2 linked regions of the Drosophila melanogaster genome follow. The protein of the gene in region 2 interacts with the protein of the main gene of each other region in a pairwise test. Each region holds a gene or a part of one and is shown on either strand. Other genes may lie near its edges. The genes, in order: stl and CG12517.

Evidence for each region.
Region 1: the proteins of CG12517 (region 2) and stl interact in a two-hybrid assay, tested with the Drosophila melanogaster proteins (one large-scale study listed by BioGRID).

Annotation. Positions count from the first base shown.
Region 1 is NT_033778.4:22,806,346-22,811,183, forward strand, and holds the start of stl (stall), read left to right. Parts: upstream 1-1,514; 5' UTR 1,515-2,433; coding exon 2,434-2,610; intron 2,611-4,838. Other genes in the region: CycB (cyclin B), read right to left, coding at 301-336.
Region 2 is NT_033779.5:10,868,207-10,871,484, forward strand, and holds CG12517 (uncharacterized protein), read left to right. Parts: upstream 1-1,960; 5' UTR 1,961-2,033; coding exon 2,034-2,450; 3' UTR 2,451-2,516; downstream 2,517-3,278.

The sequences.
Region 1 (4,838 bases), on a different chromosome or scaffold from region 2:
GCGAAAAATAGGTGTGGAGAGTACTAATTAACGGTGCAAGCACCGCCGGTAGAAAATTGCGCCAAAATGTGAGCAAGGCAACTGCAACAACGACAACAATGAGCGCCCGGGACAAACGGCACTCTTTCTTTTCCCCCTCCCTTCACACACTCATCGCACTATCGCAGCGTCCTCTTTGCCCCTCTCTACATGACCACGCTGCAATGGCGTCTCGCTGATGACGAGCCCACTAGTTTGTGACTTTACCATGACCTTTTCGCGGATGCCACGGTAATCTTAATGTTCTAGGGATCAACTCACCTCATCGCCACGCATTTTCAGTGTTGTGCCCACCATTTTGATTGCTTCTTTTCTATCTGTACAAACACAATTAACACGAAGATAGGCAGACGCTTGGCTATCACTTGGTTTGGTTGACTTTTGATCGCGTTTCTGTGACCGAACGCTTGTTTAGCTGTTGAATTTGTTGTCCGAATATATGATTACTAATAGTTTATAATTTACAAGTCGAGTGCGGGATTGTCAATTCTCCGAAAACCTGATCGAGTTTTTGCACACGAAGCGAGGCCAAGCTGCCGTTTGAATTTGAAAATGGGAATGGGGATGGAAGTAAACTCGATGATAAATGCCGATGAGTTTGACGATATCGATTTCTGGACTTAGTTCCCTTTTAAGCCGCAGTGGCGCTCGAGAATAATCGATTTATTAGAGCAGAGCATGCAAAATAGAGATGCGATACGTGCGATAATTTTCGATAGTTTTAGTGTGACCAGTACTGGTGCACAGCTTATCGATGACAGGGCTGAAACAGTGCTACCCATAAATTTCAAATTTAAATTTAAAATTAGCCGAAAAAGAAAACGTTACAGTTTGAAATTTCTGTTAGATATTCAAGCTCAATCCATTTTATACATATTTTAAAAATGAAAACTTCATGGATTAAATTTGATAGTTGGTTAAGGTTCCCCATTTTAATAAAGCCATCGCTTTGACTGCCAGTCGTCACTCGGTTGCACCATCCATTGATTGCATCAATTAAAAGTTGATCACTTCAATTGGCTGTGTTCGGTTTGTTTTTGTGCCCCCCTGATTTGCATTCGCTGATTTAAGATTTCCTGCTGCCACAGGCCGCAGAACATCGAAACTCCGCGGCGGAAATGCAGCATAATTCTTGCCACTCCGCAGCCTTTTTTGCTGATGATCAGTGTCAAGTTTTCGTCTGCTCCATCATTTTCAAGCACTTGACCACAAAACAATCGCCATCGCCTCAGAATTTTGCCTCTGTTTTTGTTTAGTACCCCAAACTCTCCTGTTTTTTTTTTGTGGCCCTTTGCTGCGTCTTAACGGTTGGCGCATTCTTCTTCTCTTCTTCCGGCGCTCTGGCTCATTAGCATATATTTATGAGTCTGTTTGCGCTCCAAAAGTACTTTTGCGAACTCCGGCCAAAAAGCCGAACGAGAATGGAGCGCCAGCCGACGATCGCGAGCTCGAGTTTTCCGTGATTTTCACATTTCATTCGCAAAAGTGCCGCCGTCGCGAGTGGTTGCCTCGCTCTCGCCGCCTCTTTCTGCGCTTCTGTCGCCGTCTCTTTCGTCGCCACGAAAAAAGTCCTTCGATCGATCCAACGCGCATTGACCTCCAGTAAATCGTTTCAAATTTTAAATGCCCCAAAGCGGTCAGATTTCGGCGTGATTTAGCGATTTTTAGTTAAAAAATATACATATAAAGTGCTTTTCGGCTATGGACATAAAACCAGAAGATCGTTATGCTCCAGAGCCGATGATCTATATGCCGTGTGTGTTTGTTGCTGGCTGCTTAATTGTGCGCTGGCGTTTAAATAAAATCAAGTGCGTTTAAATGACAAAAGACTGGCATTATATGTACAATATATTGGCAATTCAGAACTGGAGCTGGAGCTAAAATAGCATTTTTCAAGCACCATTTGGTCTTATCTCGAGTGTCGATCCATAAGGAAGAACTTAGGCAACAAACTAAAGTACACCAGCCACTAAAATAAAACGAAACATAAATAAGATAGAGTGCAAAAAAAAAAAAAAAGTGGCCCACAACAAATGACTCGTAATGCAATGCCTGGGCAATTAATTAGTGCATAAACATTTGAATTAACAGCCGTAAAAGTTGGAGCCCCGTACACGATCGCGCCTTCATTTGGCTCTCTCTCCCCTTTTGAGAAATCGGGCTCCAAGTTTTCCACCCTCGATTTTCGCCGCTGGAAAATGTAACTCCGCTACCACTGAAAATTATGACGCAAAAAAACCGAAATCGGTGCGCAGCCTGAGGAATAATATATTTGCAATTTATGCAACAATCGTCGCGTGGTTGTTGCCACAACAAAGAGCGATTAGTGCACTAGGAGCATTACAATAGCCACCTGTGGAGTCCCAGAGAAGCCGTCATCATCAACGCATCGTTATGACTGTCGCAGCAATTGGATCTAATCGGCACCGTCGTTTGGCTTTAATTGTTTTGACCACCTTGTGGCTGCTAATCGGGGCCAGCAGCTCCTCATCCTCCACCTCCTCCACCAATCCAAAATCCGTCAACATTGAGCTGCGTCGCAAGAGGAGCTTGCACTACAATGGCATTGAGGTGAGTCCCGATATCAATCAATGCTGCCTCATTGTCGTCCAATGAATGGCACTTTGGCTTTGTGGCTGCACGACGAACTGCAAAAGTAGAACATCTTTCATTGCAACTTAAGGCTTATCAACAAGGAATGTCTTTAGTTATTATATTCTTAAGGTCAGGCTTGAATCATGTGACAATTGTATTTATGGTAAAAGTTTACGTTTGCGGTGAGTCAGGATATTAATCAAACTATTGCTGTGGCCTCAGAGTAGAATGATAAGCGATATATCTTTACACGATCACACTGAAAACTTTAAAGTGTTAATGGAAAAATATCAAAAAACTAGTAAATTTCTATCTAACGGTTAAAACAGCTAAAGCATGTCATTTTATTTATTTATTAAGAAAAAAAAACGTATGCTCGATTTAATCACCAATATTTTCCAAGTGTAAGTGCTCTTGAATGTCATACGATTAACCCATTTACAAACACAGGTGATCATCCATCTACATACGTATGCGTCAAGTGACCAATAAAGAGCATAAAAAATCGCCGTATAGACAGAACATGTGCGCGACAAAAAAAAAAAAAGCAAAAGCCAAAAACATAATGTCTGACTCAACTTGAGTTTGAAAAGCTAAGCAGAAATTGGTCGCAGAGTTCCGGGGGAAAATGGGGAGCTTGGGGCGCGTACTCAGTCGCATAGACAAGGCGTTGAATGACCTCTGAAGTATATCTTTGTTGGGATATATGTTTTGGTAATTCGAGAGCTTTAACCCAATAAACATTAGCGCTGGCCAACAAGGCGACAACATGTCGAATTACATGTGTGTGTACACAACGACTCGTTTTTCCCATTTCCCCCACTTTTCCCAGATTCTTCGGGGATTTAATTTGAGCTGGCGTCGCAGAGTCTCTTTCGGTATTTTAGGAACTCATCACACGATTACAGGGAATTGCAAACAATCTTGCCACCAGCTGGCCGTTGCAGCTGCCTCCAAAACGCGAACGTTTCCCAGGCATTTTGCAGACTGGCAACGAGTTCGAGTGACAGGCGGTTCTGGCTGCCAATTTTGGCCAAGTTATTGACCCTCTGAAGTCATACTTAAGAATCCATTCGCTTGGTTGCGCTCTTGATTACGTGATTTTCCCCCTTTTCATTTGTTTTCCTACATCCGCACTCCTTTCAGCCTCTCAAATTGGCCTGAAGACAATTTTCTGTGATATAATTTCCACGTGTTGGTTTTTCAGTTTTCGCCATTTTAGCCCTATTTTCCATGTATACGAGTGTATGCTTTCCGCTCTTCACTCCTTTTATTTTTATTTTTTTTTGCTATTCTGCCGCCCATGGGTCACGCAAAATTTCATCACATAATCAGCTTGGCTAGCGATTACAGCGAGCATACCTGCATTTTCCGCTTTTCCCCCGATTTTGTCATCGCTTATTGTTGCTGTTTGTTTGGGGCTTTTCCGGCAATCGCCGACTGATTTGCTCTTTCTGTGCTGTTGCCCTTGCAGCCAATTAGTGTCCATTTCATTGAACATTGTTTGCCTTTGCTAAAGTTCAGCGGAAAGATTTTCGAAGAGTTAGGTAAGACCGGAGGTGGAAAAAAGGGTATATGTTAGTTGCAATACAATGAACTGTCCAACCTCAGAGTAATTTTTAATTCAGAATTTATAGCGGATTAGTGGAATGGTGACTACATTCATACCTAATAATTATTCCAATTAAAGATACTATTAACTGATTGAAAATTCTTTATGTGACCCATATTCGGGCAATCCTGAAATACATTTGGTTTATGATAATAGAGTCATACAGTAGAATCTTCAGGCTAATCTAAGTATAATCGGATACCCATGGGCGGTTAACGACCAGCCACGCCCTCTTTTGGCGCAGCATTACAATGTTGATAATAAACATTCGCCACAATGGCAATTTGTAACACCTTCTCCCGCTGGAGGCGGAGTTTCGATCCGAAGAGCCGAAACGCTCTTCACGCTCCGCCGAATCCAACGCGCTTTTCCACAAACAGCCAAATAAAATAAAGCCGAATGAAAACTGTTACAACAAATTAAATTAAATAATCGTGAAAAGCAGACGCACGCACCACAAAATATACGGCGAATGGATGCTAAATGGTATATATGTATGTTTGGGAATAAGACATACATTTTAACTGCTGCACTAACCTTTCCACCCGATGAGCTGGTGACCCCAACACAGCTGTTTGAGCTGTCTAATTGG
Region 2 (3,278 bases):
TCCTGATGATTTGCTTGGGCCGAAACAAGTTTGCCATGTGCAAGTTTTTAGATCGTTTTGCCTTTTGGGCTTTTCTGTTTGGCAGCTTGTATATTATTTGTTAATTGATATGTCGCAAAAACTTTGCATCCTGTGCTGTAAAACTTTGTAATGCCCGAATCATTGTAGATCTACGAAAAATGGATTCGTTGTCTTGGCCACCGATGATAAATCGAAACTCACTTTAATAACCATCTGTTCTCCTTAAAGAAATCCCTGTATACATATGCTCGAAGAGCAGGAATAATTAAATTGTAAAACAGGAGAACGCAAAGAATTTATTGGACTGAACGAACTGGAATTCCAGGTTTGCGTCGACCTCAGCAAAAAGCATAGAAATAGTGCCAGAAGTGGCAAAAATTCCGGGTAGCACAGGTGCACCAGCTGGCCGAAGTTGGGCTCTGTTTAACTATTTTCTATTCATTTTTGCATTTTGCTAATAAAAATTTCATTTTTGCTTAACTAAGTGAAACGAAAAGGTTAAAAGCAGAGCAAGGAACTCTGGCGCAAACGTTCGGCGAACAATGAAGGATTTTATCTTGGCCGACTGTTGTTTGGTCAAGCCTTTGCCGCCAGTACAGTGCTCCCTGGCTACGTTGGCCCAGTTCTTCCATTTCGCCATTCACTTCTGATAGGGAGTGAAATCAGTTGGCGTATAATTTCGTTTTGCCATCGCTCTCAAAAAATATATTTGCACTGTACTTCCGCTTTTGTGCCCGTTGTCTTGTTGCCTAGATAACATTTCCGTCATTTCCCTTTGTGTTGCTCCTTTTTCGGTTCCTGTTTGTTTGCAAACATTTTTAAAATTGTTTGCTGTAATTTGTTTCCGGACCCAGACAGCAACAAAAACCAAAAAAAAAAACCTTAAAAAAAGGGAATATATACAACAAAAAATAGGCAAATGGCCCTTGCCAAAGTGGGCGTTTCTTCTTTTGGCCAACAAACGTAGTTACAGCAGTCGCTTTGTATTTTTTACGATTAAAAAATTATAATTTCAATGCTTGTCTGCCGTTTGGCTCAGCACGTTTGGTCCATCTTTTTAACTTGATTTTTGTGCTGCCAAATGGCGGCGACAGCTGTGGGTATACCATGTTCTATAAATCCAATTAATCGGGATATCCCTAGGAATTTGGGCATCGCCACTATCCCAAAATTCGGCAGCACGTTCCATGACTTTTATTAGTTTCACTTTTTTTCGCCGAGAATTTATGGCGATTTTTGTATATCTATGCAAATGTTTTTTATACGGCTGTATGTGTGGTTGGGTATAAAAATATTTATTTGTTTACTTGCCGTATTGCTGTCCAATTATTAACAATTACACAGTTTTCAAGTTTGAATTTCAAATGGCGCTATAAGAACTGGTAAAAGATACAATTAGGGAAATTTCAGTCAACCAAATGAGTTATTCATTTTAATTATATTGAGTAAATTACATATCAATTACAGCATTTTTTTTAGTTTTTATTCGGACAGCAATTTAATTGGTTAAAATCCTGTTTACTTTTCTCTACATTCGTTTGCATTGTAAAAGTGCCGGAGTGTGTCATCTGTTGATTAAATTATATACGTATGTATGTATCTATTTGTAAGCAAACACTGACGTCATTCGCATTCTAATTCCAAACGAAATGAAAATATTTAAATAAAAAATAAACTTTGCCACGTGCTGCACTCGAATGCAATCGGAAGTCACGTACCATGCTGACTCAAAGTTTGCAACGCAAATAGTGAAAGTGCTGCGAAATCTAAAATTAAATAAAGCTCGTAATTTGACAAAGTTATTAATAAGATAGCTTCGCCGGCGTTTCAGATACTTCTGCTTCAGCGCATTACGTTACAATCGAGCAAAGCTGAAAAATGAAATACGAACCAACGATCACACAGCACGTAGAAATGTTTGAAGTTTTGTGGCGATTTCAGTTCAAAACCAAATTTGCTGCAGATCGGACGCAAAGTTTTCAAACGGACTTCAAAGGATATATATTCATAAAATGAGTAACCTGGGATCAATACTGCTCCTTCTGCTCATCATCTGTATCGAACGCTCGCGACAGCAACGCTTCTCGCATCCCGAATCCTGGACGGATAATGGGATTTACGTTCCCGGTTCGGAGGACGACCTGGACTGGACGGGCGCCAATTGGCAGCTGGTGGTCCGCTTTCTGATGCAGCGCCAGCAGCTGCGTTTCTGCATCGCACTGGCCAGATTCGATGAGCAATTGGTGCCCGGCACAGCCTGCCAGGCTCTTTTGGCCAACGGCCCGCTTATGGCCAACTGCGATATTGGCAACATCGAGGATCTGACCATGACCTTGCGCTATGCCTTCGGCGAAATTCTGCTGGACACAAGTCGAAAATGCCGTCCTGGCTTGGAGCTATTCGGAGTTCGCTGCAGGCGGAGGGCATAACCTGGGGAAAGGTTTTATTAAATATTTTAACTTTAATTTTAAAAATACTAGTACAGTTTCAACAATGCCAAACAATTTTTTTAGTTACCCTTTTCTCTGCAAAAGTTGTCTAAGTTCGTTCTAATTTTATGGCACTTAAATACTTTGGATAACTGCTATTATTTCTAATTATCATCGATGTATTTTTGTGTGCAGATACGACAGTAAGCCAAGTGTTGCCAGAAATAACTGCATTAGTTTGTCGCTAATAAATTAGTAACTAATGGAAAATCGTAACATTTTTGCTAGCTGCTGAAACTACTAATTGTTCCCATTTCCAAATCGCCTCCTAAGTGCATTGCTAATTCACTTTATCGAGCAATTTTTCATCGTCTGCCCTGTGCTGTCCCTTGTCATTTCAATATGTCAATAAAAATCAGAATGTAACACTACCACCACTGCCCATCCCCTGATATATATTCGTTTCCATTGGAAACTGGGTGAAGGACTGAGTCCGAGTGGCGAGTCCTTGCCGAGTGCACTGCCTCCCTGACAAATGACGATTATAATTTGTAAAATGCGCCCATCTTGTTGTTCCCCTTCAGATCCTCAGAGGTCCCCAGATCCCCAGTTGCTTGTCGCATCCCCGATATGTTCGACTTGTGGCCTAGATGTTGCTGTCCGGCCATTTTCGCCCCATTCCCAGGCATTTTCACTCTCGGATTCAGTTTAGTTCATCGCAATTGTTGTTGCAATTAGCAGATGCGATGGGCGGGCATTTTCCGGGCGGTAATATAAGCACAACTGATGGTTTGAATGGAGAAAATTGCACAGCGCAAATGGCCGATA